Diceros bicornis minor: one gene and its partners. The protein of the gene in region 3 interacts with the protein of the main gene of each other region in a pairwise test. Links are inferred from orthologs where the notes say so. Each region holds a gene or a part of one and is shown on either strand. Other genes may lie near its edges.

Region 1 (7,381 bases), on a different chromosome or scaffold from region 3:
ATCCAGAAGGTAATCATTTTAACTGATATACCCAGCTCATATACGCCCATGAATCATGATTAAAGGCACTGTCTCAAAAGCCTCAGTAACTATGAACAAATTGCTCATTGCCAGCCCTCAGGGTTGCCCACCTGGTTTCCACCTCCCACACCACATTTGAGGTCTTTTTAGAAGAATAATTTTCAGACCTACACACTCCAAACACTATATAGCCAAAATAGCAGACAAAATGAACATCTGTATTAAAGATAAACACCTTAATGCTCACTGCTGTTGAAAGTCCCCATCAGAGAGTGATGTTCAGGGCCTACGTGTTCAAAGTTTCCTTTTCCAGTGCCGATAGTTTTGTCATATGTGGTTAACGATAAACTGATACTGATTGCCTTGGCAACATATCCATTTGCTGAAAAAGGAAATAAAACCCATGGTTCATTTAAAACTTTCTATCTGCCAGGTTTCTTACAGTAATTTAGGAAATACTTTTTAAAAGCAATAGATATTAATAGCCTACAAATAGTAACAGGAAAATATTTCATGAGAGAAGATACTCATGAAAATGTGTTAGAGTATTTTTTAATATGAATCAGAGAGTTTTGGTGCCATTAATGTTCTTTAATGTTCCCTATTAAAATATTTTTTCTGAGGGCCAGCCCCATGGCCTAGTGGTTAAGTTTGGTGAGCTCCACTGTGGCGGCCGGGGTTTGGTTGTCAGGTGCAGACCCACACCACTTATTGGTGGCCATGCTGTGGTGGCGACTCTCATACAAAATAAAGGAAGACTGGCACAGATGTTAGCTCAGGGCAAATGTTTCTCAGCAAAAAAAAGAGAAAAAAATATTACTTTTGCTCTAAAATTTATACTATATTTAGTCTTACAGTAACTTCCTGACTCTTTGCATACTGGAATTTCCCATATTGGAATTTATATATGGTTAAAGAAAATAAAGTTTACTCTGAGGAAGCCCTAACTGTAGATTTACAAACAATAAAAGATCAGTGTTTTAAGGCTGTAGTGCGTAAAGCAGATAAAAATGCAAGTTTAAAACTCAAGAATTTTTTAATCATTCTTGTAGGTTTCCACCAGCAGGAACTGTAGCCTCATCATTCACTTATCTGTTATTTACATTCTACCTCAACTTTGGTTCCTCTGCTTTTGCTTTTCTTTTCTTTTATCAGATTCTGTTGGTAAATGAAAAGAAATGGAAGAGTTTTCAAAACTGAACCTAAATACTAAAAAATCACAGATTGTAGAACAGCCAAACACCACAAAAGGAGTCATAGCATTTCATTTCCATGCTTCAATTTGTTGGCTAGAAGCTGCCTTCAGCAGTTATCTCAGGTCTGGCTCACAATTTAGGAAGTCGGCTAGGCAGCCTTCCCGGGAAACGCAAAAAACATGACAGAGCCCGCACTCTGTTGGAACAGAAGCACATCTAGACTACGTTTGGGGGCACAATGCCAGAGTTTGCATATTTCCTTACCCTGTAATTAACTCTTGCTTTTGAAATAGGATTCTCACTCCAAGGGGATCCTTTTAATGAGTTTATACATTTATCTTATTTTCGAAGAGATTGTTCTACTGAATCATTGAATTCTGAAAGTATTCAAAAATTATCTCAGTTTAGTTTGTTGTTTATAACAGGGAATATTACATAGCCAATTAGTAGAATACCTAGAATATATAGTGATATCTACGGGACTTTTTAAAGATGCTAACAAGTTACCAAAAGAGTTCGAAAGCCTAAAGAATTATTAGACTAACAGTTGTTGAGCACTCATTATACACCATGTAATATACTAAGTGCTTTCATGCATGATTCATTCATTCATTCAACATGGACCTGTTGTCTACTATGCGCACTGTTCTAGGTCCCAGAGAACAGCAGTGAACAAAAAAAATCCTTGCTTTCATGGAGTTTACGTTCCAGTAGGGAAACAATCAACAATTAAATAAGTAAAACAGAAAGCATGTGTAATGAAAATAAGTGCTATGGAGACAAATTAAGCAGAGAATGGAGATAGTGAGTGACTGTGTGTGTGTGTGTGTGTGTGTGTGTGTGTGTGTGTGAAAGAATCTCATTCAAATGGTAAATTGATAGATAAGCAGAGATCAGAAAGAGTTGAGGAAATCTGGAAGTGGATCTCAGGGGGATGCTTGTTAAAGAGCACTGAACAATTATTTATTGAGTATTTCTTATGAACCACTTATCATTTAATCCTCACAGCAGCACTTCATCATCATTGTAAAATGCTTCCATTTTACAGGTAAGAGAATTGAGGCTTAAAAATGCAAAGAAACTTGCTTAAGGCCACACTATGTACAAAGGGCAAGCTACGATTTGAACCCAGATCTGCCTCACTCACAAGCTGTGCTTTTAACCATCGTCCTCCTGTCAATTCACCAACTGCCCAATAACGAAATTTCTACATGCTCAATATTGGTACCTACCTAAGAAGATAGTCAATTACAACATCACACTTAGAAAAAAATCCATTTGAGAAGAAAAAAGTGAATGAAGTTTGGCTCAATCAAATAAATAAATGAGAAAAATTCCTCTCCACTCTGCTGGTGAGGGTTCTGATCTTGTAAGTTACAGCTCTCCAGGCACAAAAAAGGAGATGCCCCACCTGACCCTGTGGGGGCAGGTACTGAAATTGTCTTTCAAAGCAACACTCTCAGGCCTGCCAAAAGAGGCCACCAGGAGGGGGAGAGGAAGAAGAAGGGGAGAGGAATAGTGTTTGTTGTTGGAAATCGCTATCATCACTTCCCCGTCAGTTCACCCCTCTCTTTTCAACTGAGTCTCAGCATGAGGTTTGGAGGTTTACATCTGGCTACATAATTGAGCTCTTCACAAGGTATAATCTATCTCAAGACTGGTCCTGCTGGGATGGGAGGAACTGCTTTCAAGACCCACCATCCCCATGACTCCACTTAAGCACTAAATTCCACAAGGCCTTAGCCATGTGGTGGCTGAGAAAGGGTGGCAGAGCTGTCACCATTCCGTTGTCAAGGCTTTGGGCCCCTTGATTTTCTCTTTGCTCCCTTGGAGAGTCGTATACCTGTGCATTAAGTGTGTGTGTAAAGACAGAAGGGTGTGCATAGGAAAATGGGGAAGGGGGAAACTTTCTCGGCCACTCCAGACCTGAATAAGTGTGGTTTTGCAGCAATTGAGTGATTTGAGGAAAAGTGAACATACTAACCCAAGCAATCAAAGGGAAGATTATCTTACTTAATACCAGGAGTAGATGTTTTTCTTTTTGCGTGTCAAGTCCAAAGAGGAAAATCAGGACGAGTGGCTTAGGTTGTAAACCTTAAGATCAAGGACACTTTCCCTTGAGCTTAGCTCTCAAGTTCTCAGTAGTCAACTACTCGTGAAACATAATTAATAGCACGATAAATATAAGTTGTGGAAGATGCAATTGAAAGTCAGAGGCCCCTTCCATGGGCCCCCTACAAAGAGCCTATCATAAAGAGGACTTAACGTTAGCAGGGCTAATAAAAACTATCAGCTATTAAAAGTGTGCTCTTCCCTAGCACCTCTTATTGGAGTTTGTCTGTGTGGGTGTGTTCGTAAGAGAGGAGTGGGTGAGCAAGAGTGTACTGGGTACGATTTGTGTATCTGCATGAGAAAACAGAAGCTCTGGATGAGGAAGAACATATGTTTCTGGGACTGCATCTGTGCAAAAAGAACACGGCCCCTGAAGTTGTACTAATTTAAAAAATAAACTATATTAAAAAGTCTTTTATTTCACACATGTCATCTCGGCACATTTCTCTCCTATCGTCCTTTCCGCCTGACCCAATAGTCCTTTCTCACCCTCAGGTCTAGGAAAACCATGTAATGTTTCCAACAGTCTGACAGAGCCTGCCTAACCAGCTTCACTCGGGGACCCCAGAGGCAAACCTCAGCAGCCCAAGAACAGAAGTGACTCTCCAGGGCGCACCTGCCTGGAGGCGGCCCCTCCGCAATCAGGCATAAATCACATCCTTTCCGAGGGCTGGGAGGAGGCCGAGCAAGGCAAATAGAGCCAGGCACGGCGCTAGCAGGCGGCATCCGTGGCGACTCGGAGAGTGGCGCGACCTCGGGCAGACCGCGCCCTCTCCCACCTCCCAGCCGGCAGGTCCAACTAGCCAGGTGTCGGCGCGCGCGGCCCGCCCCGCCCCGCCCCGCCCCGCCCCGCTCCGGGCCGAGTGCGCGTGCCCGGAGGGAGCCGCGCCCCCTCCCCCGGGGGAGGCTGGGCGCTCGGCTCTCGAGGCCGCGCTCCCCCCGGCTCGGGCCTCCCACCGGCGCGGGGGGCGGGGCAGGGGGCGGGGCAGGGGCGGCGGGGCGGGGCTCGCGCCAGTGCCCCCTGCTCCTCTGCAGCTTCGTCTGCAGGTCTCGCGGCAGGCTAGCTGCTCGGTCGCCTCCTCCGGCCCCATGGCAGCCCCGGGCTCCCCAACCGAATGCGGCTACATCCGGACAGTCCTGGGCCAGCAGATCCTGGGGCAGCTGGACAGCTCCAGCTTGGCCCTGCCCTCCGAGGCCAAGCTGAAGCTGGCGGGGAGCAGCGGCCGCAGCGGCCAGGCGGCCAAGAGCCTGCGGATCCAGGAGCAGGTGCAGCAGACCCTGGCCCGGAAGGGCCGCGGCTTCGTGGGCAACGGTGAGTGGAGCCCCGCCGGCCCCTGGACGGCCGCGACCCTACCCCCTACCCCTTTCCCTATCCCTCCCACACCTTTAGCACCCTGTTGCTTCCACTCGCTGCTTCCTGAGGGTGCGGGACCTGGGGTTCTGCCCACCTGTTGCTCGCCGTCCCTTTGTATGACCCGTCGCGCCCCAAGACTCAGACCGGCTTACTTGGGCAAAGCACTCTTTTCTAAAATAATCTCTTACTCAGTTTTGTCATATATGTATCTACGTATATTAAATGCACGTATATGTCTATGTGAAAGAATTCAGTCCAAGATTTTTCACCCCTTCCTTAACCAGCTCCCCCTGCGCGCCCCCCCCCGGGGCCTTAATCTGGAGGCTCCCGAAGTCTATAAACACTTTGAAATTCTATGCAGAAATTTGGTATGATCATTTTTCTGGGAGAAAGTGCCCCTAGCTTTTATTAGATTTTTTTTTAAAGAGTCTATGACCCCCGGAAATATTTTGAAAAGAAAACCTGAAAGTTCTGGCGCTCCTACAACCTGTAAATTGGGGTTGCGGTGCCTCGCCCAGGTACTTTGGGGCGCTCCACCCAGGGTGCGGAGCGAGTGCTTGATCTAGGAAGTGAAAAAATTGGGTAGAAGGCTTTGGGCCAGGGAACAACCACCCCACGCGCGGAGGAGGAGGAGGAGGAAGAGGACTTTGTCCCCGCCAGCGGCAGCCCGGTCCGCCTCCCTGCGCCCTGGCGACACCCTCGTGGGCACAGCCCTAGTCTCTCCAAAAAATTAAACTTGGAGTTGAAAGGGGTTAAAAAAAAAATAAAACACTATATTAGTAATTGATAGTCGGGGGAGGTGGAAGAAGATGGCAAACCAGCTGTGAAAATTAGAGAACATGATATATCATTTTCTCTCCTGTTAATAGTCAGAGGATCAGAGCCACACAATAACTCTTTTATTAGTTGTTTAATTTATGTTTTTCATTATAAAAGTATTATAGGCCTATTATAGAAAAGACAAAAGGAAAGAAATTGAACCATTAATTCAGTTGGGATATCAGTTTGTTTGCCCGCAATGTTGACCTGTTTCTCTGGGAAGTCACTTGGGCAATGGCAAATGCAGAACCCACTAGGAAAAAGAAAAATGCTTGCAGACCAGACCAGAGATTTAAAACAGCAGACCCTGGGAGGCTGTATTGTTTTCAATTTGTGTAAAAAAAATCCTAAAGAATCAGGCAGTCAGTGTTTACATAGTTGAAAGGCAGAAGATGTTAATGATTATAGTTAATGTAACTGAGTGCCTACTATGTGCTAAGAATTGGACTGTGTGGTTTACATTCACTATATTATTTGTGTTTCAAAAAAAAAATTTATGAGGTAGGTGTTTTAATCCCCATTATACAGATGAGGAAACTAAGTGGTTAAGTAACACTCAAGTTCCCACAGATAGTAAATGGCAGAACTGGCATTTAAACTACTAAGCCGGAATTTTTAAACCACTGATCAGTTATATTGTTAAACTTTCGGGTTATGAATACAAATTGGGATTTTTATTAGACCCTAAGCCTCTCTATGACCCCTCCCATTTTCCTCTAAATAAAATTGAGGTAGTCCTGAGAGAGTGGGGCGGTCTGAATAGCACAGAACTGCCACAGTACGTGGAAAAAAAGAACCTAAATTTACATGTGGAAGTCAGACTAAAGACTCCAGGATAACTGAGGTCAATTTTTGACCAGTAGAGTCATTGCACTCCATTAGTGTGCGCAGGTCCAGTGCTAAACTGGAACCAGAGTAGCTTCTGCTGCTTGGAGGACATAAGGGGGATACATATTAGATCTTCTTTCTTATGCTATGAGAATGGCTAGTCAGAAAGAGCAATGAGACATCAACTATTCAATAAATGGGGGGAATGAACAGAAGGAAGGGGAGTATTGCTGAGCGTCTCCTATGTGCCTAACCCTGTTCAAGAATATGTTTGCGTTTCATTATATCCTTAAAACGATTATATAAGGTAGATAGGAGGATCCATTTCACCTAAGAAGAATGTGTCAGTCTCTCAACATTAATTGGATGCTTAGTCCCAAACCCACACATGATCTCTTTTCTATCACGTGGTGAATTCATGTTGCTTGGTGAATTCAAGAACTATCAAATGAGTCTGTTCTTCACGTGGAGGTGCTGAATTAAACATAGACTCTGCTTGCTTTAAAACAAGGAGTTTAAAGTCTGAAGAAGGAAATCTCCCCCTAAAAAATGAGATATCAAGTTAAAAATGGTAACCAACCCAAAAGAACAGGTAACACATTATGGAGTTTAGAAGTATGAGTTAGACTACCAGCTGAAGGGAATTTTGAAAAGCTTCTTGGAGGAACTGAGATTTTAAACCATAAAAGTTCAATAGGATTGGACATAGGGAGATGGTTGGAGGAAGAGCATGCTAGGAGGGAACAGCAGGAATATTTCATCGTCGGCAGAATTGATACAGTAGAACAAAGGACATTGTCCTGGTGCTTCTGCTCTAATGCTCAGGGCAACTGCTTGAGTGGCTCTTCCAACTAAGGAACAAAGCGTTTGAAATATTTTTGATTACAGCAGGAGCTTCCCAGCAAGCTGAAATACCTCAGCAGCCTACACAGAAGTGCAAGTCAGTCAGAGAGATAAGGCAGCACACAACACCTACTTACTTTAAAGCCTCAGCTTTTTGAAACTCCAAAAAGTAATCGACTTCAAAGGAATTTGACATCAACATGCCATG
Region 2 (7,885 bases), on a different chromosome or scaffold from region 3:
TGTGAAACTGCCAGTATAGAAACTGACAGATGGTAAGACCAGTTTCCAACCTGCTTAAGTATTGGTTTAATATGGTTTAGATTATTTTATTAGCATCGTCTAGTTTTACTATATACCTACATAGTACAAGAGTATTATTACAGTTTTGTTATAGTTCTTCTATTGTTATAATTAGATCTATTTATATGATTTATACACAGATTTATTGTTATAGTTTCAGATTTTATCAGTATACTATTTTTAGAGATGATTTAACTGATGATTTCTCTAAAAAATGTGTCAAGTTCTATTTATTTTAATGAAATGTCTACAAACACATAGATGCCTGGGGACAATCATAATAGAACAACTCAAAAGCCCAACAAAAAATCACTTTGATAGATGCAACACACAGACATCAACAAATGAACGAATTAACTGAGTTAAATATTTTTTTAATATTGCATCAGAAGAGACAAATATTCAAACATGAAAATTACCTCATGAGAAGGTAAGAAATCTTGAGGTCATTAATTTTCCGAAAGACCTCATTAATCACATTTGGAAACAGAAACAAAGATAAGGAAACTATACAAAAGGAAAGGTTTCTACTGGTAAATCTGCTTATAAAGACTCCTTTGGTTTTATGTTGATAAATATTATTTTTAATACAGTTTACTCCCCTTAAAAAATAGGTGTAAATTCAGAGAACATCAATGTTGTTGTCAGTTCTCACCTCCTTCCGCCACCTCAACTTTTCTCAGTTGGATAGCCTCCCCTGGAAATTCAAGGATTATCCTCAGTCGCTGTGTAAGCGATACCTCTCCATAGCCTCTGCTTTCCATCCTCTCAGCCCATTAAATGGGCTTAGAATTAGATCACTTTGTAAACTTGGGACCTGGAAGCCCAGTGACAAGGACAGTGGCACACATTCACCTTAATAGTCTTGCTACCACGTCTGCGCCATGGGACGCATCCTTGGTGTCTGTGTAGTTCTCAGATCAAAGACAGCTCACGCAGTGAGTATTTTGACCCAGTCACCTGGGCTTAGCTTCTGCCAAGGATTCCTCTCTGAAATCCTGGTCGGTTGACCTGCTAGGCCTTTTAGTTTCCTCCACAGAGCAAGAGCATGAATAGATCCTGCTGTTCTGCCACGAGGCAGAATTTCTGCTGCAAAAAGGCAATTTACCAAGTATAGTCACCACGACCGGATTTCTGAAAAATAATTCTATCTAAATTCTTGTCTACTGTGCCTTGTCTACCTGGCAGGTTGCCCCAGTTAATGCCATATTAAGACTGAGTTTTTCCTGTGCTCTCTGGACCCTGAACTGCAGCTGAGTCAATCCTCCTGTCTCCTACTCCACACTTTCTCATCAGCCCTTGTTCTCGAACCGAGTGCAGATTTCAGCCTTGATCTCCATTGAAGGCTCCTGTTGTTCTAAGGTACCATAATGCCACTTGCATGTCACAACAGTTGTCACAAAAGAATAATTTGGCTTTTAGTAATACAGAAAAAATCCAGAATGTTAATACCAAATTTTAATCTTTTTTCTTTTTTGCATTTCTTTTATACTACTAGGCTAAAGCAAAGCGGAGAAGTGGCCTTCATCGAACTTTCTTCATAAATGATTGCATAATCATGATAGGGTATGAAGTAAATCAAAGAATGATAAAATAGCTAGGACAGGAAAAAAGAAATGTAACTTTTAAATTTATTTTCTGACACTTCATCTACAAGCATTGTTTGCACATTTTAAAGTTAATTCACTTTCTAAAACATCTTATGAATTTCATTACAGTAATAGGGTTGGAAAGAAAAATTACCTCCTTTACCTTCCCTAGGCACTAATTTTACTTCTTAGGTACCACTACTGAAGAATTTCTAATTTGGCTCATCACTTCGGTGGGAATTCAGTGCACATAAGGGGCACATATGTAATTGGCAACCTAATTTTTCTGCTTTCGTCAAATGGTGCAATGCCAAATCTTCATTGAACTTGCCAGTTAAAGGCACTTGGGAACCAAACAGCAGCAAGCATAAGAGATGAAAATGAACAAATTGGAAAGAATCATTAACTTTCTGTTTTCCTATCACAACAAAAATTATATCATTGAAAGTATAGCAAAGTGGGAAATTCTACTTGAAACATTAAACAATCTTAAAAGAGAATAATGCATTCTCTTAACTTCTAAAATGTTCATTATAATTTATAAATGGGATTTCTAGTACAGATTTTTTTCAACAAGAAATACAAAATAGTTAAAATGAATCATATTTTCATAAGTGTGTTTTAGGTTATATATTTTCATATCTTTCTGGTCTAGTGTCTAGGAATTTTAGACTTTATTTGGCAAGCAAAATTGTTAGAAAATTAAGCAAGAAATGTTGGCTTTATTTAATACCTTAATGAATAAAGGCAATTGACAGATTGTCATGGTCTCACTAATTATGAATGCAATTGAAAGTGTGAAAATTACAATCAGTTGTGGTTACCAAAAATGCCCTTGAAATATCCGGTCTAATATATAATTTTGAAGTATGCAATATAGAGTCATTATTAAATTATCATTATTATTTAACTTTTAAATTATTTTTTATTGAGGTTACATTGGTTTATAACACTATATAAATTTCAGGTGTACATCACTATATTTTGATTTCTGTGTAGACTACATCACGTTCACCACCCAAAGACTAATTACCATCCATCACCAGGCACATGTAATGTACACATGTACACATATCATCACAATAATAAATTATCATTACTGGTAACAATTAAATAAATAGAAAACTGGGACAATAAAAGCACCAAAAACTTGCCCAATATGATTGAGCATTGTCCTTAAAGGGGGACAATTTTTTAAAAATGTCTATTTACAGCTCTTAAATAAACCACATATTTATTCGCTAAGTGCAAATGTTCAGATCAGGAATATCTCTTCTACAAAACTTCCTTTTGCAGCAATGCAAGATTCCTTTAGTGAGGACTTTGGAGGAAAGCTTCCTAACTTTTTTCATTTACAAGTCCAAGTAGTTAGGACTTTTTAAATCCTTGCCTAACCCTAAAAAGTGAACATTTTGTAAACCTCTTTTGAATTATAAAAGGAAGGAAAGAAGGAGGGAGGTAGAAGGAAAATGCCAAAGGATTGTAGATCAGCTTATTTCATAATTATCAAAAGCTCTAAAGAAACCATTGAGACTTTTGACTAAGCCAGGAGCTGTGAATGGGAGGCAGTATGGACAGTAAGAGTAAGGCAGACTGAGGTTGAGTTCCAGCTGCATCACTTAGTCTGTATGTGACCTCAGGTTAACTACCTACTGTCCCCAAACCTAACTTTCTTGATCTGTAAAACTGAAGAAACGATAATAGCTTTTTCACAGGGCAGGCACACATTAAATCCCAATACACTTTGTTATACATCCATTTTCCAATGCTTAATCAAAGGAGCTAACATGATATATATCCACTGGTCCCAACTTCACTGCCCTTTCTTGATTATATGCTTAAGCCGCTGTTAGTGGACTTTAATGGACTCTAAACTTTTTGTATGAGACAGGAAAGAATTAGGGAAAAAGAAAATCAATGTCAAAAAGGGGAAATATATGGAGAATATATAATGGGCCTCCATATGATAAAAATCTGAAGACATAGCAATGGTCATGAGCTAGTAATCAGGAGAGAAGATATAACAACTGAGTTGTCAACCTTGCCACCACCTCCCTAGCCTCCTAAATGTTAACTTCCTTTTGTCACATTTATGAAAAAAAAGTTGTCCCCCAAAGCAGGGTTGTCCTCTTGCTAAAATACACATCAACCACTAATACTCATTCAAAAAGTACACCTTGCTTTTACACCCAATATATTAACATTTCAGAAGTAAGATCATGGCCAGATTATTTAGAACACACACAAGCAGACACACACACACACACACCACACACACAGTTAAATGCATTCCATCTGCTGTGTTGCCTGCTAAAGATGTAAATGTATAGGAGTGGCGATAAAAAAAGGGGGATGGATGGGACAGAGTTCAGGACCCGTGCAAACCTGAAAGGAAATGAGGCAGGGCCATGGGAGAGGGGATCAAGGGAAAATAAATTAGGTAAGTAACACCACCATGCATCAGAAGTCTTGGAGACTCTAAACTAGCAAATTTTCTCCAGGGGGCCATCAGTCAAATGATGTCAAAATGGTAGCTGGTTCTGTTTGTAAATCCGTGTTGTCAAGGAGCTTATGTGTGGGAACACAAGTTCCACTCCAGGTCACAGTCCCAATGCTCCCATTATCCTACAGAAGAATTGAAGCCCTAAATGGTTCCTGGGAGGTGTGATCTGCTTAGACGAAAGAAGCCAGGTTTCTTCCCTTGCTGCCTTGGAGAGAGGAGACGTGTAAGGATATGAATAGGTAGGGTGAGAAAGAAAAGAGGAGAAAGAACCTCACAATTTCCTCCCTGAGAGGTGGAAGAGAAAGATTACATCTGTGGTTTGGCGAGAAAAGATGCAGTGCATTTTCAGCATCCCCGCGGTCCCTCTGCAGCGCTCCAGACTCCCCCCTTCCCTTGTCTTGACCTGCCAATGCACTTGGACTCGACTTACGCACAAGGCAGGACTGAAGGGGGAGCCAAGTCAGCACGGCCGGATACGGTTTCCCCTAAAATGAAAACTCAGCAGCGCTCCAGCAGCGGGTGTGCGCGCGTTAATGTGTGAGTATGCGTGCGTGGTAAACCCGCGGACGCAGTTGGCCGGGCGCCGCCCTCCAAGCCACCCCCACCCCAGCCCAACCCCCCCACCCCGATCCCTATAAAGGCCTTGGCCGCCGCCGCCCTCCTCGCAGTCGGGGCGCGGGGCCTGCCGGGGAGGTGGCTCAGGGGTCCCCGCACAGTCACACTCCGCGCAGTCACACACTTGGAAGCGCCTCCCCACGTCCCTCCCCTGCCCTCCTCTTGCTCTGCTCTTCTCTCTCTCACCACAAATAGTCGCCGACCGACTGCCAATCCGCCTCCCTCTCTCTCTCAACAACATGACTGACTGGGAAGCGGTGGCTCAGGCAGAGCGGCTCTGCTGGCGCAGGCAGGCGGAGCAGGAGGATTATTAAATAACGCGGCTCGACTCTGTGCCACTGGGACTGGAGAGAAGGAGCCCAACAGCCGAGAAGGGGAGGGAGGGCAGAGGAGGGGGAGCAGAGGAGACACCCCCGTGCCCCGAAGACATAAATCCCTGAGTGCCCGGGAGGAGCCTTAACAAGCGGCGCGGAACCCTCAAGGTAGTAACGCCCCCGGTGCCCCCGCGCCCTGAGGGTCGCGCTTCGCGTCGCCGCCGCGCCGTGGCCGGGCCCCGGCGGACGCGGGGATGCCCGCCCGGCAGGTGACCGCGCCGTGCCCGGGCCGCCCCGGAGCAGCCCAGCCCAGGCCCAGGGCGCCGCTGCGGGCCCGGCGTGCGCGGCGCGGGGACCTGGCCCGGCGGGCGGGGCGGGAGGGAGGCGGCCGGGCGCGCTCGCCGCCGGCCCCCGACTGCCGGCGCGCTGCGTGGCCTTTTCCTCCGCGCCGCTGAACGCCCTGCGCCCCCCGGCCGCGGCTGCAGCGGGATGCGGAGCGCGGCCGGCCGAGGACGCAAGAGTTGGCGCAGGCTCCGGGCCGCTCCCCTCTCTGGCCGCTCGCGTCCCGCAGGTAGGGGCGGCCGGCTCGAGCTGGCACCCGGGCTGCAGGCGCCGGGGCGGGGGCCGGCGGGGAGCGGGAGGGGAGGGGAGCGGAGGGGAGGGGAAGGAGGGGGCGGCGAGCCGGGGCTCCCGGGGGAGCCGCAGTGCCCCAGCCGGGACCGCCTCTTGTCTCCGCCCGCTTGTCCTCGGGCGCTGGCTTCCTGGGTTGGAGACGAGACCCTCCCCAGCGAACAGCAGCGACTTAGTGTGAACAAATTGCTTTGTGGTGGCGCGTCGAGGGCTCCAGGGAGGGGTGTGTGTGTGTGTGTGTGTGTGTTCGTTCGTGTGTGTTCGCGCTCCTGACTAATCAATGCGCTGGTTCACCTGAAAAGAAAATCAGTCCTGAGGTGAAACCGCAGGTGGCCCCTTGGGCCCTCTGGTCTTTTGGCTTGTGTCCCAGGGACTCGTACACGCGCTGCTATCAAGGGGTAGGGGTGCGCGAAGGGGTGACGGAGGGATTTGTGAATGGTGCTTCTCTGCGCCTGGAGGCTGAGCCTTGCTGATGTAAAGGAGGAGGCATCCAGAGTGAGAAGAAAGGCTATTTATGGCAAAGAGTTGTGAAATTTCTCGGGGTTTCCTTCAGTGTATCCTGAACTGCTCTCTGTCTCCCTCCTTCTTTCTCTCTCCATTCTCTCCTCTCTTTTCTCAGAATTCGAAGCAATTCTGCTTCCCCCTCCACACCTCGTGGGACCTGGAATATGAAATGAGGGAAGTCAGAAAATCCCTTGTCTTTTTAAGGCAGTAAAAACATGCTTCTCAGAAGTCACTGATCTCTTGCCCTTTAATGTTTTTATGTACTTATTCTGCACTCCTTTTAACCTTTTCAGGCCCTCCATAGGACCCACAGGACAGAAGGTACCTACTTGGTTTCAACAGCTTTCATTTCTAGTATCTTTACAGTTGAATACCTTCCCACTGAAATGTAATATATCCTCCATCCGTATCCCTAAGAAAGGCTATTAAAAATAATGTACACATTTTACTGTAAAGCTGGTTTTATTAAAAGCCTTGGGGAGGAGAGAGAAGCAGACGTCTAGGTGAGTTTATATCGATTACTACTGGTTAAAAACTAGCTATTAAGAAAAGACCTGAAATATTATTAATCTAGGCTGCAACACAATTTGTTTTGGTTTCTCTATTTGCTTTGTAACAGGTACACATTCCAGACATAACTTGAAGCTTCGAGGAGACTTGGGACAGAGTCCACCAGCTATGCTTTAGCAAATTTGTTCTTAAAAGCAGCGACCTGTGCTTTTATAGAACCAATGACTGGGTTGTGACTCAGGTACTAGGACAGTGTTCTTATTATTTTAAATTGGGATGTCTCTAAGCGCCTGCCAAGCACAATGTTTTCAAAACATTGACATTCCGTGTTGCTACCACCCCTTCAATAATTTCATGGAGAAGAAAGAGAAGTAAACTGGTCAACCTATTGTCAGAGTGATTTGTCTTCATTTGATATTAATTAAGGAGCTCCTTATTTTGATCAAAACATGCCAACTGTCGGTGTTTTTCCAGTGTGAAAGTAGCTTTTCTTAACAGTCCTGTTGATTTTGAAGACAAAGCAGAGTTAAGGATTTGTTATTTTGATTCAGTTAGATTCATATTGGTTTAAAATACATTTTCAACATTGAAGCATGTGCAGTTTTATATATTACATTAGAACTTAGATTGAGAGCACCACTCTCAGGGTTAACTTTCCTGAGTCATTGGAATGTAGAAATAATGGGGAGGTTTAAAATGTGCTGGATGAAATGTATTATTGCAATCATTAAAAAGTCATTTATGAATATTTTGTTCTTTGACACTATCAAAGAATCAGCAACTGTTTACTTTAATGATTATTTATACTATAGAATGTTAATTTATATCAAACTCATGTAGAAAATGAAAAATTCATTATATTTTATCATTATTCAACTCTTTATTGCCTTTTATTACTCAACATAGTACTCAAAGAGCCTGTCATGTGCAAGGTACTATCTAGGTATTGTGGAGGAGCATATAACTCCCTTGCTCCCTGCCCTTGAGGAGCTTACTCTCCAGTTGGGAAGAATCTGATGCTCATGCTTCAACCGAGTTAACAACCCGTGGCAATAAGAGATTGCATGTCTAAAGAGGACTGCAGGAGTTCAGAGCATGATAATAACAGTTCATGCTGGGTTTTGTCTGAAAAGGCTTCAGGTGTAGGTAAGACTTGCTTG
Region 3 (7,160 bases):
ATAGCACTTGTCATGACCTAACAGAAATAAATTTGTCTACTTGCTTATAGTCTGTCTTCCCCATTAGAATATAAACTCCATGGGGGTGGGGTTAGAGGGTGGAGGAGGGGTATGCTTTATTATAGTTACATGGTTGAATCCCCAAGGCCTACAACAGAGCAAACACTAAACTCATAGCTGATGAATGACGTTCCTCTCTCTATAAAACCACTTCTCACCTCAAGGTCCAAGTGTGTAATTTTTTAAATGAAAAAAACTATTATTATTATTACTATTTTTTATTACAAAAGGAAAAGATGTTGCTTTGGGGATTGTAGGTGCTATAGACTGGGTTTAAGATTTGGGCTAGAGAAAAGTCATAATTGCCTAGGACCCCAATCCTGGTTCCTTTGTAACTTGGTATCACCTAAGTTCAGCCTTTCATACCAGGGAAAATCTTGTCTCTATATGGTAATTTTTCTCAGAATTTGGGGCATTTTCCAGAAAGTGCTGTCAATCTTGCATTTGGAGTTCTAGCCACCAAACCATTGATTCATTCTTTCACTTTCATTGAAGCATATTAAACAAATGTTTGCTAAGTGCCTGTTGCTGGGGGATATTAGGACAATCAACACTGTCCCTGCTCTCAGCGGGCTTTGGTTCCTTGGGGAAGCTCAGACACCTCCATGACCAAAAGGCTGTGTTCAGTAAGTCTCCTGTGAACTATGCGGGGGCTCTACTTGAGCTCACAGGAAGGAGCACTCACGTTAGGTATCAGGGAAAGCTTCCTGGAGGAGGTAGTATATGAGTGAGACTTCAAAAGGCAGAGGGGCAGGCTGGCCAGGGAGCCTAGGAGCAGCTGTAGTGCACAGGGCAGTGGGAGTCAATAAAAGGCCCAGAGAGGAAGGGAGCTGTCCATTTGGGGGACAAGTGGAGGGTCTGGTCAGACACAGATAGGTGAAGTGGGTTGGAGTTGCTTTGGAGGGCCTGGAATGCCTGACTTTGTAGTTTGTACTTTATCAAAAGGAAACAGGATGCCAAAACAAGTTCTGGAGCCAGTGATGCTCTGTACACAGTGAGATTTTAGCAAGATTATTCTGATGACTGTGTGGATTACTATGCTGAAAGTAGAAGAAATTCGAGGGAGAGAAGTTTGGGAAGGGAGGGACAGACAAGTAGGAGGCTTTGGACTGGGAAGATTTAGGGGGAAAATACTGGTAAATGGATTTATTTGACAGAGTTATGAAGGGCAAGTCTTTCAGGTTTGGTGGCCATGTGAGTGAAATGAAAGCTGGGAAGGGGATAATTAAGGGTGATTTGACAAGACCTTCGTGCCTTAGGGGCCAGGGGAGTGATTACACCATTGGCAGAAACATGAAAATCATTTTGGAAATTTCAACTGGGGCAAAAGGAGAATCTGTTTGGGGTTTAGACATGAAGAGCTGGAGGTGGTGGTGGGACATCTGGTGGACATATACAGCAGGCCATTAGTAACCAGCCTGATCTATGCCCCTAAAGTTTAGCAGAAAATACTGGCCAAAAAATACGGAGAGATTGGGCTGAATCAAACCTTTGATTTTCAGGTGTCTGCTCACCTGATTCAGTGGAGAGTTACACATGCCCCATCTCCTCAGAGTTTTCATGACAGGCTTGGGTGCACGGCGTCACCTTTTGTGAGTGTGGTGGGCTGGAGTCCAGCATCCTCATTAGCTAGAGTTTGCATTGGTGTCAGCTGGTCAACCCACACCTCCCCCAGTGGTGGAACCTGGCCTCTGTTTCCTGAGTCTCAGAGTTTGTGGCAGGGAGGATGTTGGGATGCTTGTGCGTGCTCTCAGGGACTGTGACATTGACCCCTTGCGCTCAATCCAAGAAAGATCCTGTACTGGGACCTAGGCCTCAGCAAACCCCTTCTTAATGGTTTATGAAGGGAGAGGCTGGGGCAACCCTCACCCACCTTTTCCACCTTCACAAAGCTGATTTTGTAACTCTTGTTCCCCTTAGAGGCTGTCTTTAGTCTTCACTTCCACTTTATTTTCCCTGGATGGGCATCCTGGAAGCAGGGAATGGGGCAAAGGTGGCTGTTACTTGGGAGAAAGCTCAACCAACACAGAGGAAGGAGATCAATTATAGGGCTTTGATACCTCTGAGGGCCCTGCCAAGCAAAGCCCATTCATTAGGATGGGGCCGACATACCAGTCCCGACAAACACCAGTTCTGGGTCCAGGCTGGGTGGGAGGGGTGGTGGCCTGGAAGATGACGTCAACATTTTCTGCAGGGCCTGGCCTGCCATTAGGTGACTCAGTGTATTTCCCAGGACTTCAGCCAGGAGGCAGGGACCAGGGTTGCAGCCTTTATTTATTTTTCCCTCTTGAGGCGGGACTGTTCTGTCTTGGCACTAGGTTCACAAGAAAGCCTTCCTGCCTCATCATCTCTCTGCCTGTGATCTCATCGGCCAGGGCACAGCTTCGGCCAGGGAAGCAGAGCCCCAGAGCCTAAAAGAGCTTCCATGATGTCCCAGGTCATTGGGCTTGGAATATGACCTGCTTAGGTTTAAACCCCACGTCCTCTGGGCCTCAGTTTTCCAATATATAAAATGGAGGTAATAATTTCAGCCTCATAAGCTGCTTGTGAGCTTGAGGGAGGTAATGTATGTAAAGCACTTAGCACAGTGCTCCAGCCCAATAAATGGTAGTTATTATTAATAGTCCCCTTTCTTGAGTGGCAGTATAGCAGTGGTCAATAGTGTGGTTTCTGGAGTTAGACAATCCAGATTAGGAGGGTTTGAATCTTGAGTCCTCTTTTTTCTTGTTGAGTGACCTTAGGCAACTTCATCTTGCTGAGTTTCAGCTTCCTCATTAGTCAAATGGGAATAACAACAGTACCTATCTCACAGGGTCGTTGTGAGGATTAAATTCTGCAAACCAAGCGTTTAGCACAATTGCCAGTACACACAGATGAAACAAAAGTGAACTATTCTTATTATTATTATCATGATCTTTTCAACCCTATATTATTCAGAGTCCAGCTCAAGGTGCCACCCTTCCCACAAACCCCATTAATCACGTCTCTGATCTTCATTGATTTGGACACCTCTTACAACCCATTTACATTGTTCCTATTTACGTCCATTTCCTCAAAAATCTAACTGGACCTCCCAGGCTCACCTTGCTCTCACCTTGAGGCCTTACAAGTCATTACTGTGTCCCCAAAACCCACAAATCCAATCCCCAAAAACACTGACCTCAGAGAGAATTACATTGTGCATTACACAGCAGAAGTTCCTAAAATTGTTTTTAAAACAGCTCTATTCCTTCATGTTTCCACTTCCTAAGCAGTTGCCCACCCTCATTTCTCCCCTTTCTGAGCTACTCCCCCCTCAGCCCTCTTCCCTCTCAAGTTCCCTGGACTATAAAATGAATTCCTAGTCCTATAAAATGGATTCCATTCTTTAGGAGTCCCAGGGAGATGAAAACACACACACACACACACACACTTAAATAAATAAATATAAGCTTAGCTACATAAAATATATAAATGGATATTTATATTCTCTTGGTGCCCTCAACGAATCCTTTCATTCATTCAACAAATATTTGAGTTCTCATTTTGTGTCCAGAACCAAGCAAGCTATCTGTTGGACAAGAAAGGCAAAGGAGGTTCTAGCTCTCATGGAACTTACATTCTGCTGGAGGAAGACAAAAACAAGTATAAAATTTCCAGCTAGTCTAAGTGCCGTAAAACGGTCTTTCTGAGAGAGAGGGATGAAGGGCACTAGAACACCCCTGGTATTTCGTAGGGTGGTTGAGGTTAGACTCGAGGTGAAATCTGAGCCGACATTCATTTTATAAACGGGAACACTGAAACAGACACCTGAAAGACCTTGGTGGCTGAAAAACCGGGAGGCAGAGTCTCATCCAGCGTGGTGCCATTGTCCGGAACAGCAGAGAGTTTTTGGGAACCTCGAAAACCGAACGCCCCCACTTCTCGAGGTCCGGGGGCGCCTGCGCAGAGGCGGCCGCCAGCCTGACGTCAGCGCGCCGGGCCGACCCGGCCCCCTGTGACGCCATCCTCGCCACAGCCCCGCCCTGGCCGCCCGCGCGCTCGCGCGCATGCTCGGAACCCCGCCCCCGTGCGTCACAGAATGGCCTCGGACACCCAGGCAGCCCTTGACGTGTCGGGGAGGAGCTGGGCGCGGAGGTGCGCGGAGTGGAGCTCGGGGCTGCCGAAGGGAGCGGAGCTGAGCGGCTGGGCGGGCCTGGCCAGGCCAGCGGAGCGGAGACGTCGGTCGAACGGCGGCGAACATGCGCTTTTGACACATTGGAGGTGAGCCTGCAGTGCGGGGCCGCTCCCGAGGGACCGGGCCGGGCCGGTGGCGCCGAGGCCTGTCCCCGGGAGCCTGCCGGGCCCGGGGGCTGTGTCTGAGGCCCCGCCGGGCTGGGCCGGGCCGGGGCAAGGTTCTGGGCGGCCAGTCCGGGGGCAACTGTTCCAACCGCTCTAACTGCCCCCTCCACGCCCCGGTCCCAGGGGTGGCCCACCACCTGGAAGGGGGCGAGCCGGTCCGCCTCCGGAGGATGTGCCGCGTCCGGGGGTGGAGTGAGGGACGACCGGGACGGAGGCCGGGACGTGGCACCGTGGGCCGGGGCTCTGGTGGCGCAAGGAGTGGCTCAGTTGGAGGTGGCAGCGGCGCGCCCAGCCCTCCGCCTCCTCCCCCCAGCCCTTCAGCCGGGAGGGTGGTTTGGAGCCAGGTTGGATTTTGAGCTCTCGTCGCTTCTCTGCTGTGGCGGGCGAGAGCGGAAGCAGCCCACGTTGGGCTCCGACGGCATTCCCGTGACTCCCCGCCCCGAACTGCTAGTCGTCCGTTTTGGAGTTCAGAAAAGTGTCACCAGACGGGTTCGGGTTGCTTGTGCTCTCCTCTTTTTTTGCTGGTAAGCAACCAAGTAACCCTTTAAGTTTTGTCAAGAAAGCGAGAGTTCTTTACTGATTATTACCTTCCGTTTCTGTAGCGCCTTCACACATTTCAGAACATTCTTGCTATCTCTTTTGAACCTCATCATCCTGTGGTTGTGCCTGATTCTGTTATCGCCATTTGACGGATGGGGAAGTTGAGCCCGGCTGGGGTGGGGAGTATTAAGTGATTTATACTGTGGATTCTGCCAACTGGTGAGTGGATTCGCTTGGATCAGAATTTACGTCTCTGGGCTCAAAGTTATGGTTTCTCTTTGTGGGATTTTTATACTCGTCTCAGCTAGAAAGCAAAACAGAAAATCTGACTTGCCAAAAATATACCAGAAGCCTAGTAGAAGATTTATTCAAATATTTTTGATCGGACTTACTTAGGATAAGAATTGCTACTCAGTTAAAAGAAAAATCCTACTCTGAAACTTGTTCACGGGTTGCTGGCTAATTATTTTGTCTGATATATTGTGTTGCTCTTAATCCACTTATGAAATAGGGTCATGGCTTAGCTAAATCATGAAGTTGGTGGGATAAAATGCAGCATTAAGTCTTGGGTTGAAGAGAAGTAAAGGAGAACTGAGTCCAGATCTCTCTTGTGGATTTTTATCAAAATTATTATTTAAAATTAGAGGTCATAAAGAACAAAGAAAACCTTTGGATAGCCCTGGTTAGAGGTTGACGTAGCCCAGATAGAAATTGCTAAATCTTAAGAAACTGTTCTTTTTTAGTTCTGTTTTGACTTTTTAAATTAAATAAGTTGAAGTTGGATAAGGAACACTTAAGATAAGTAGAAACCTCAGTAAAAACGTACATCTTGCTTTCATGACATCTGTAAAACTTATTTTTCTTCTCATTTTAAACCATGTGGAGATATATTTGGTTACTAAAGCTTAAAATTACTTCTGACATAAGTTACTGAGCACTTCATAAGGTAGAAAAAGAAGTTTGACAGTCAGGACAAAAAGGGAGACCATATTTATGATGGGCTTTGAAAAGTTAAAAATTCTGTAAATATCACCTTTGGGAGAAGTAGAAGAATTTTGGTAAAAAGGTATGTATTACCTACAGTGAGTTCCAAGAGAACTCTTTTAATCTCATTAGTCCATTCTACAACTATTAACAAGAAGCAATATCATATAAAATGGATTTTCTTACCATTGCACAAAGAGTAGTTTCTTTGTAAATACAGCATTTTGGACAGGCTGTTTTATACCCAAATAAGTGGATTTGTCAGTTGCTAGATAACTGGCAGTCCTATACAGTATGATAATAGCCCATGTAAAAGTCAGCACACTTTTGAGATGCACACTCCATCCATATGAGACGTGGTATGGAGGGAAGATTTGGGTAGCAGGGGAGAGTACCTAATTATCTGCCTTCATTTCAGCTTCAGAAGATTGTAGATGTATCATTAAAGCATTTTTTTTAGCAGTATGGTTTTCTGTATTGGCTAACTTTCTATAGCCTTAATATCTCCAGTTACATAGTTTCAGATAACACAGTGAACACATCCTCCCACTGTAACTTGAAGCAAACTGAACAGACTGTCTTTACAGCCCATGAAAAGGTCTTTTGGATATCTGCAGTGGTAGAAAATTTGTAAAAAATCTGATTTTTGGAAAGGATAAGTCTGATGAATAAAATTAGAATGATAAAGCTTGATAATACCAATTAGGAAGCAGTAAAAATGAGGTGTGACCACAAAGAAAGAACTTTTTGTTTAGTTTTTAATCGGGCTCTTCAAGACTACACCAAAAGAAATTTTAGAAATGTTTTCAGTAATGGTGCTATCACTGGAATATGCATATAGCTTCCAGAAGTGATTAATTTTAAGGATTCATTTATATATTATAAATTCTGAAGCACATTTATTTTGTGGTAATACTTCAAAGGTCCATGACTGAACTACCAGTTTTTTATCATTTAATGAAATTTATGCTGTCTTTACTATATGCCAGGCTCTGTACTAAGTACTTTACAAATATTAACTCACTTAATCTTCGTAACAACCCTATTTTAATTATTAGCTCCATTTTACTGATGAGGAAATGGGGCACTGAGTGGTTGAGTAACTTGCCCAAGGTCACCCAACTAGTGAGTAGAGGAGTCTGATTCAAACCTAGGCAGTTTGGCTCCAGGGTCTGGGCTCTCAACCACTGTGCCATGCTGCTCCTACCACTTGTTCCCTGGTTAAATATTTTTAATTGCTTTGTTCTGGAAAAGAT
Region 4 (7,386 bases), on a different chromosome or scaffold from region 3:
AGACGAGAATTTCTGCTATTGTGTTGAGAAACGCAGTGTCCCTGCTTTCTCCCATGTATACATGTTATTAAACTTGGTATTATTTTCTCCTGCTAACCTGCCTTGTTGATTATTTGGCCAGCCAGAAGAACCTTAAGGGAAAGGGCAGAGGGAGATTCTCCCTCTTCCCCCGACAATATTAAGTCAGACTAGCATTTGTTTGTGAAGTACACCAAGGCTTTTGAACCCAGCCAGAACTGAGGATTGAATCAGGTAGTCTGAGTAACGAGTATGTTGAGCAAGAAGGACTGAAGGATAGAATCAAAATGGAACCTTATTTTGAATTTTGCTTCCTACTATGCCCTTAGAACTTATGCGGTGAGGATAGCCTTCCCAGCACCCCCGGATGAGGACAAGGGCAATGTGTGTGGGGTTCCTTCTGTTTGCCCCTCCAGATCCACCCGCCAACTTGACTTGTATGAGTCACATCAATATGCTCCATGTCCTCTGGATTCCAGCTGGATTTGGGCAATCAGAGCTCCAGCAGGAAATGGGAGGGAGAGATGAGAACAAGGTCCAGGAATTCAATCTCCCATCTCCCTCTCTGTGAGGTCACCTCCGCTGGCTGTGTCCCTTGATGGAAGGGTGATCTTCTTAAGGTGGTCTGCTCTTCACAACTCTCTTTCTTTCCAGGTTCTAGTAACCTCTTCCTCCTGCTTCCCTGTGAGTTAAGGGAGGGAGGGTGTCAGCTCCAACGCTGTTAACCTAGGGTCCTGCGCTACCCCTCGAGGTTCTCTCCTACACGCTGTCCACACCCTTCTCCTTTGACACTTTGGAAAGAAACTCTCCCCATATTATCGGAATTGGAGCGTATCCTCTTAGGGAAGAGGCAATTCCACAGCCACTTTAGTTGCAAACAGAATCTCAATGAGGGAATGATGGTGTCCAGTCCAAGACATTAATCAACACTGCAATCTTCACTCTAGGAAAAGAATTGCTGTCCTCCTCCCCCAAGTAGGACATGTAGGTGGGCCACTGCCCCTGCTGGGGGTGGGGTGTATGGCTGGCTCTGCTCTCTTCCTCGCCTCACCTGCTCCCTGCTATTTCCATTCCTAGGCTGAAATGGGGGCCAAAGGGGACGGGACAGTTTTCACTTGAATTGGTTCTATTATAACCTGGTTTTGCACCCTCTGGCCTGGCATGGTTAGAACCAACTCTCTCTCCCAGCCCCTCAGAAAATCCCTGCACCCCCACCCCCAGCTGCACACCCATGAACCAGGAAGGTCTCTCTTTGGGCTGGCTGTTCCCCACAGCCCTGGTCCTCTAGGGGCCCTTTCATACTTGGATGCTCACTGCTGGAGAATCTTCATCCTTCCAGGTTATCTTCTTGCGCAGAATTTAAGATTCTAGATGACCTTCCTGCCAGCAAAGTTCATATCTAGTTGTCAGTCTATCTGGCTCACCTTTGTTGTGCCACCAAAACAGCTCAACAGCCCGATTCTCCTGCGGGCCACTGTGTCTGCAAACACCTGGGAACACAAGGCTTTGCGATTGGTTCCTAAGTCTCCTCTCAGCCAGACTGAAGCAAGGGGGCAGATATTCTCCACTTTCTCTATTGGGGAGGAGGATTGGAACTCACGACTCAGCCTGTCTCCAAACAAATCGTTATGAGGTCATCTCAGTCACCATTTTTCTCCTGTCTTTAATATTCTCAAAATATGGGAGAAAGTTTAAGGGCAGAAAGGATTAGTTCTCCAATATCCACTCTGAAGATCCCTCCAGATGTCTCTCACACACTTTATGTCATTTTTACCTTATCTTGTATCAGTCAAAATCTCAGTTTTAACATACTGCAACAGACTGTTACGTATGCTTTTAATGGCTAGTAAAAACAATCAAAACAAAACAGTTCAAACTGGCTTCCAAAATAAAGAAAATCTGGTGGCTCACACAACTGAAAAAGTCCAGGGGTCAGGTGCCCAACTTCTCTGTTATTCTCTCAGTGCTGCCCTTCTCCAGGTTTACAAGATGGCTGCCTGAAGCAACCTGGGTATGTGCTTCCTTGTTCATATCCGGGGAACAAAGAGGACATCTTTTACCTCAGCCACTGAACGAGAGTCTTAAGATTTACTCTGACTGGATAAAATTCGACAACTTAGGTCAAGTTGTTATCCCAAGCCTATTCCTAATGCTACGGGAGCACCATGACCTGATTTCCTTAAACCTGGGGTAGGAGCCATCCCTGCACCAATCGCTATGGAAGAGAGTTGGGTTATCCTGACTGGGTTAAACCTCTGGGGACTCATTCCTAGAATTGGTGGTAATGGTAGTGGAGGTGATGGGAGTTGGACTTAACCTTATTCAAATCTCCTACTTGTATAACTAAGAGGAAGGGTGTGAATGGTTGTTCAGGAAGCAACTACAACCACTCAGTCCAAGGTCATTTTCCTCAAGCATCCCATTTTGTCCCCACACAAAATATGATTTTGTGGGTATCTAAATATTTTATATTCCTAATACAAACATACTTGTGACTATAGAGGAGTTCACTTTGCACTGGGGCAGACTTCTCCATTAGGCACAGTGCCTAGGGCCCACGATATTTTTAGGGCCCCATGAAATATTTTAATTTGTTCTAAACCTGAAAAATAAATGAACTTTTAGGTCAAAGAAATGTTTTAATATATAATATTTATATATTCATCCTTATAGCAATACAGTTGTAAAATATAATTTTTATCGTTATTGTTATTTTTTATGGAGGAATGGGCCCACCAAGGCAAAAGTGCTTAAGATGCTGAAAGTCATGAGGCAGCCCAGCTTTGTATTCCTTCTTTACTGAGATATCCCACCACAAAATTTAAGTGTTGCCAGTAGAAACCCAAAGTCTGAGGCAAAGAGATGGTCCTTTGAATTCCAAGGTTACTACCCACTTAAAGAACAGGTGTGGGTTGTATCAACACTGTACAGAGACATTGTGCTTGAAAACAGCAGTCCAGGGAGGTCAGGCTAGCTTCCACAAAAGAAGCAGAAGGAGGGAAGGCAATTCTAAGGGCAAAACAAAAATCTAAAATATTTGAAGCCTTTTCTTCTAGTTGGAGGCTAACATAGGCACAGTGAGCTAAAATATTTTTATGCATATTACATCGCTTGATCCTCATAATAACCCCCACACAGTACTGACCCATTTAATCCACTCAGGGAAGGCAAATAGCCTTTCCACATTGTTAGTACCTTGTGGAGGGGTAGGTCAACCCACGGCTCCTGACTACAAAGCTTTTGCTTTTTGCTAGTGGCCAGAGGCACTAAAATTGGATGTAAATTTTTTGTAAATTGTTTATCTGACCAAGCAAAGTGGGCAGTGACTTAGGGCACACCCAAAGGGTCTTTAAGAGCAGACCTAGATCCTTGGGCGTACCCTTCTTCCCAGATGTGCTGCCAGGTTGTCGGTGACACAGCTGGTCTGTTCCCCACCAGCCTTTCTCGCCCTAACCTCTAGTGCTTTCAAGTCAGAGGCTGGCTTTCTGGGGCAGCTGAGGAAGTCTGTACTTGCCACCCAGAAGGGATGCTCACTCCGTGCAAAGGCCGAATGGCTCCCAGACCCAGACAGCAGAGGAACTTCCATGCTTTCCAGCGACACAGCTGCTGCCCACACTCGCTTCTCCAGCTTTTTCGTTGCAGTGCTAGCCTGAGTGACCTGGGGCCCTTTCCTCGGTCTTGTTGGAGCAATAAGAATGTACAAAAGGAAGGTGGGACAGGGTGGCTCCCCAACAACCCCTGCTTTCTCCACCTCGAGAGAGGTGGAGAGTGGCCATATACTGACAGCATCAGCATCACCTAGGAGCTTGTTAGAAAGGCAAATTCTCGGGCCCACCGCACCCAATGAACCAGAATCCCTGAAGACGGGGCCCAGCAATGTGTGTTTTAACCAGCTCCCAGGTGAGTCAGGCACGCTGAAGTTTGAGGGGCTGTAGCATCTCGAGGAGGGACGAGGCCATATAAAGCAGGAGGGTGCCCCAATTCCTCTATCTCTGAGTGGTGTTGGGGCGGCGCATTCGCTTTAGTAACCATGTGAAGGTCTCGGTGAGGGGTTAGTATTTAGTTTAGTTTGGGGCGCGTAACTTTCTCAAGGACGCCACCGCTCCTATGTAAGGTGCTGAAGCCCCCTCCCACGTAGCTTGGCTGCCCTACCTCCGGCAGCCTCAACTTCCCAGGGAAGGAAAATCTGACGCAGGCGCAGTGATTACCCGGCCTGGCTCAGCCCGACGAAGAGCATGCGCGCTAGCTGATTGCCCGCCGTCCCTCCTCCCCTGGCTCCGCCCCTCAGGCCCCGGCCCCTTCTCGGCCTCCACCGCCTCTCCCCTCCAGGCGCATGCGCAAGGGCGTTTTTCCCGTGGCCCTCCGCGGCGCGGGCGATTTGTAGGTAATGGCGGGCGCTTGGTCGTCGAGCTGTTTCAAAGGATGCTCCTCTACTAGCTGTGCGTGCGGCGACAAGGGCAAGTGGAGCGGCTCCTCGCTGTTAAGCAAGCGGCTCTCGGAGGACTCGAGCCGCCACCAGTTGCTGCAGAAGTGGGCGAGCATGTGGAGCTCCGTGAGCGGGGACGCGTCGGTGGCCTGCGCGGAGAGGACGCGGCGGGAGGAGACGGTGGAGCCGGCCGAGGAGGAGGAGGACAGGCCGCTGGTGTTTTTGTGCTCCGGCTGCCGGCGGCCGCTGGGCGACTCGCTGAGCTGGGTGACGAGCCAGGAGGACACCAACTGCATCCTGCTGCGCTGTCAGTGCGGGCCGGGGGACTTGGGGCCGCCTTCTTCCAGGGGCTCCGTGGGCGGCTCCAGAAGAGGCGGGGTCGGGGGAGGGGGGTGGCGGTGGTTCCTTGAGGCTGCCACGTCGGGGTCTTTAAAAGCAGGAACATCTGAGAGGGTGAGCTGTCCTAGGAAAAGGGGAGAATGGTCATCCCTGCACCTTGGGCTCACTGTCACGAGTGACAGTTCCTTTTCTGGGGTCCCCGTCCTAGAGGAGCAGCGGATGAATCAGCATCGTTGTGAGCATTACTCAGAAAAAAATGACCAACCAGGTTGTAAGCGTTTGGGGTGTAGCCACTCTGTATTACTCTTCATAGAAATTAGCGGGCTGTTAATTGGTAAATACGTAGTATTGTTAATCATTTATTTAGGAAATTAAGCTTTTCAGCTACCTGGTTCCTGCAGGGAGATGTCGGCGTTGATTTCTCAAGTCTTATGAGTTCTATCAGCGGAGGCTTTTACAGTCTGAAGTGTTATAATTATAGAGTTGACAGAATACAATGCTATCAAAAAAATTTTAAAAAGAAGGAAACTTGCAGTAAAAGTACCAACAACCCCATCAAAATTAGAAAGAAAGGAGGAAGATAATAAAAGAGTTAAGGCCAGAGTTCTAGATTTTTTTTTTAAATTTTGTTTATTGCAGTAATATTGGTTTATAGCATTGTATAAATTTCAGGTGTACATCATTATACTTGTATTTGTGCATAGATTACATCATGTTCACCACCCAAATACTAATTACAACCCATTACCACACACATGTACCAAATTATCCCTTTCGCCCTCCTCCCTGCCCCCTTCCCCTCTGGTAACCACCAAGCCAATCTCTGTCTCTGTGTGTTTATTGTTGTTATTTACTACTTAGTGAAGAGTTCTAGCTTTTAATCCTGGGCCTACCAGTTACCTGTATTTTTTCCACTGTTCCCTCGTATTGTTGCTTTCATAGTATTTATTTAGGGGAGTGGTTCACATGTATTTTTTCTGAATTGGTGTAAAAATGGCTATTCTTTTTGGACTGGTGGTTTTCAACATGAAGTTTATGGTCTGTCTGAATTCTATGAATATTTTGATAACAGAAATTTACCACCCATTTATTGACGGTTGTGGAATATTTTCCTTCCTGGGATATAATATTGGGAAGAAAGGAGCAGTGTCCACCAGTTACTTGGAACTTTTTGGGACCTGCTGTTTTCTCCAAAATGCATCCGTTCATTAACAATAATTGCTGAGTCCCTTTCAGTTGTTAAACGTAGGCCTAAGAACGTACATTACCCATAGTAATTCATTGGGATTAACCCTTTGTGCCTATTAAAGTCAAACAATGCAGAAAGGTGTAGAAGTAAAAAGGATTTATTCCCCTGACCTGACACTCTCATAGCCCTAGAGTTCAACATGCCTTATTCTCATTTATACTTCCAGATACACTCCATGCCTGTATGAGCATATATAAAAGAGTAAATTTTTTAAAACACACTTGAGATTATATTATTTATACTGTTAAGCATCCTTACTTTTTTTATTCCACACATATAATCTGAATATTTTCCCATATTTCCCATATCAGTGTATGTAGATAGTATACTTCACGTTTTTAGCAGCTGCTTTGTGTACCTTTAACGAGAGGCAGGCAACATAGCGTGGTGGTGGAGGCCCTTGACTGCTTGGGTTTGAATCCTGCCCTGCCACTTAGCTGTGTCTCTTTGGGCAAGCTACTTAGCCTCTCTGTGCCTCAGTTTCCTCCTCTGTAAAATGGGGGTAGCACAGGGGGCAGTTAGGTGGATTAAAAGAGTTAATGTGTGTCATGTGCTCGGAATACATAAGCAAGGGCCGCTTAAGCAGTTTGTTTAGTGGCAATGCCGTTCATCCTCCCCATCTGCCCCTGTTGATAGAGGTCTAGGTTTCCAGCATTGGCGCGGCTAGCACAGCATGTGTTTAGGTTGAGATTTTTGATACAGTAGAAGCCCTTGGTTTTAGTAGGTGAGTTTATCTTGTTTATAGCTTTTAAAAAAATACTATGTTTGGTGTTAAATCTTTCAATTTACTTGTACTTTCTGCTTTTACAGCTTCTTTTCTATCTTTTGCCACATGGGCTCTTTGTTTTGTTTTTATATATAAAAACACTATTCTGTTATTTAGTTTTTCTATACCAGTATTTAAATTTTAAAAACAATCAGCTTTAGACAATGTGATTTAACCACCCCCCCATAAAAGATAAAGAAATGAACTCTTGGATTAATTTTCATGCCCTCCTGACCCAATCGGAGTTTAATTATTTTTACTTTGTCAAGGTTTATAACATTTACATTGTTCTGTAGCCATAGCGTCGTCATTGAGCCTTAATATAATGTCTATGTGAATTTATTTCTCAGCTCCGGGACTCTTATTAATATAAGAAGGCTTATTAATATCTTTTTCATTTCCAAGTTGTTTATTTGATTAATCATCCGTGGTCTCCCCATCCCCAAGGAAACTTCAAGTTTGAGTGTTTGAAAATGTCTTGTATGTGAATGTCAACTTGGCTTCATGTACAATTCTGGGGTCATGCTCTTTGCTTTTTCCTGCCACAGGGAGCAGCTAGTGGAAAGGCCTTGAGGCTAGTGTGGCCAA

What was found.
Region 1: the proteins of NDEL1 (region 3) and PKP2 interact in binary tests that used the Homo sapiens proteins (3 or more experiments, as listed by UniProt). The link is inferred for Diceros bicornis minor from reciprocal best matches to the Homo sapiens genes NDEL1 and PKP2.
Region 2: the proteins of NDEL1 (region 3) and CCSER1 interact in binary tests that used the Homo sapiens proteins (3 or more experiments, as listed by UniProt). The link is inferred for Diceros bicornis minor from reciprocal best matches to the Homo sapiens genes NDEL1 and CCSER1.
Region 4: the proteins of NDEL1 (region 3) and MIS18A interact in binary tests that used the Homo sapiens proteins (3 or more experiments, as listed by UniProt). The link is inferred for Diceros bicornis minor from reciprocal best matches to the Homo sapiens genes NDEL1 and MIS18A.

What each region holds. Positions count from the first base shown.
Region 1 is NC_080756.1:31,062,199-31,069,579, forward strand, and holds the start of PKP2 (plakophilin-2), read left to right. Parts: upstream 1-4,371; 5' UTR 4,372-4,418; coding exon 4,419-4,641; intron 4,642-7,381. UniProt on the Homo sapiens protein: A component of desmosome cell-cell junctions which are required for positive regulation of cellular adhesion.
Region 2 is NC_080747.1:73,989,648-73,997,532, forward strand, and holds the start of CCSER1 (serine-rich coiled-coil domain-containing protein 1), read left to right. Parts: upstream 1-4,875; 5' UTR 4,876-5,249; intron 5,250-7,885.
Region 3 is NC_080757.1:10,012,920-10,020,079, reverse strand, and holds the start of NDEL1 (nuclear distribution protein nudE-like 1), read left to right. Parts: upstream 1-4,139; 5' UTR 4,140-4,302; intron 4,303-7,160. UniProt on the Homo sapiens protein: Required for organization of the cellular microtubule array and microtubule anchoring at the centrosome. May regulate microtubule organization at least in part by targeting the microtubule severing protein KATNA1 to the centrosome.
Region 4 is NC_080766.1:32,924,843-32,932,228, reverse strand, and holds the start of MIS18A (protein Mis18-alpha), read left to right. Parts: upstream 1-4,376; 5' UTR 4,377-4,405; coding exon 4,406-4,751; intron 4,752-7,386. UniProt on the Homo sapiens protein: Required for recruitment of CENPA to centromeres and normal chromosome segregation during mitosis.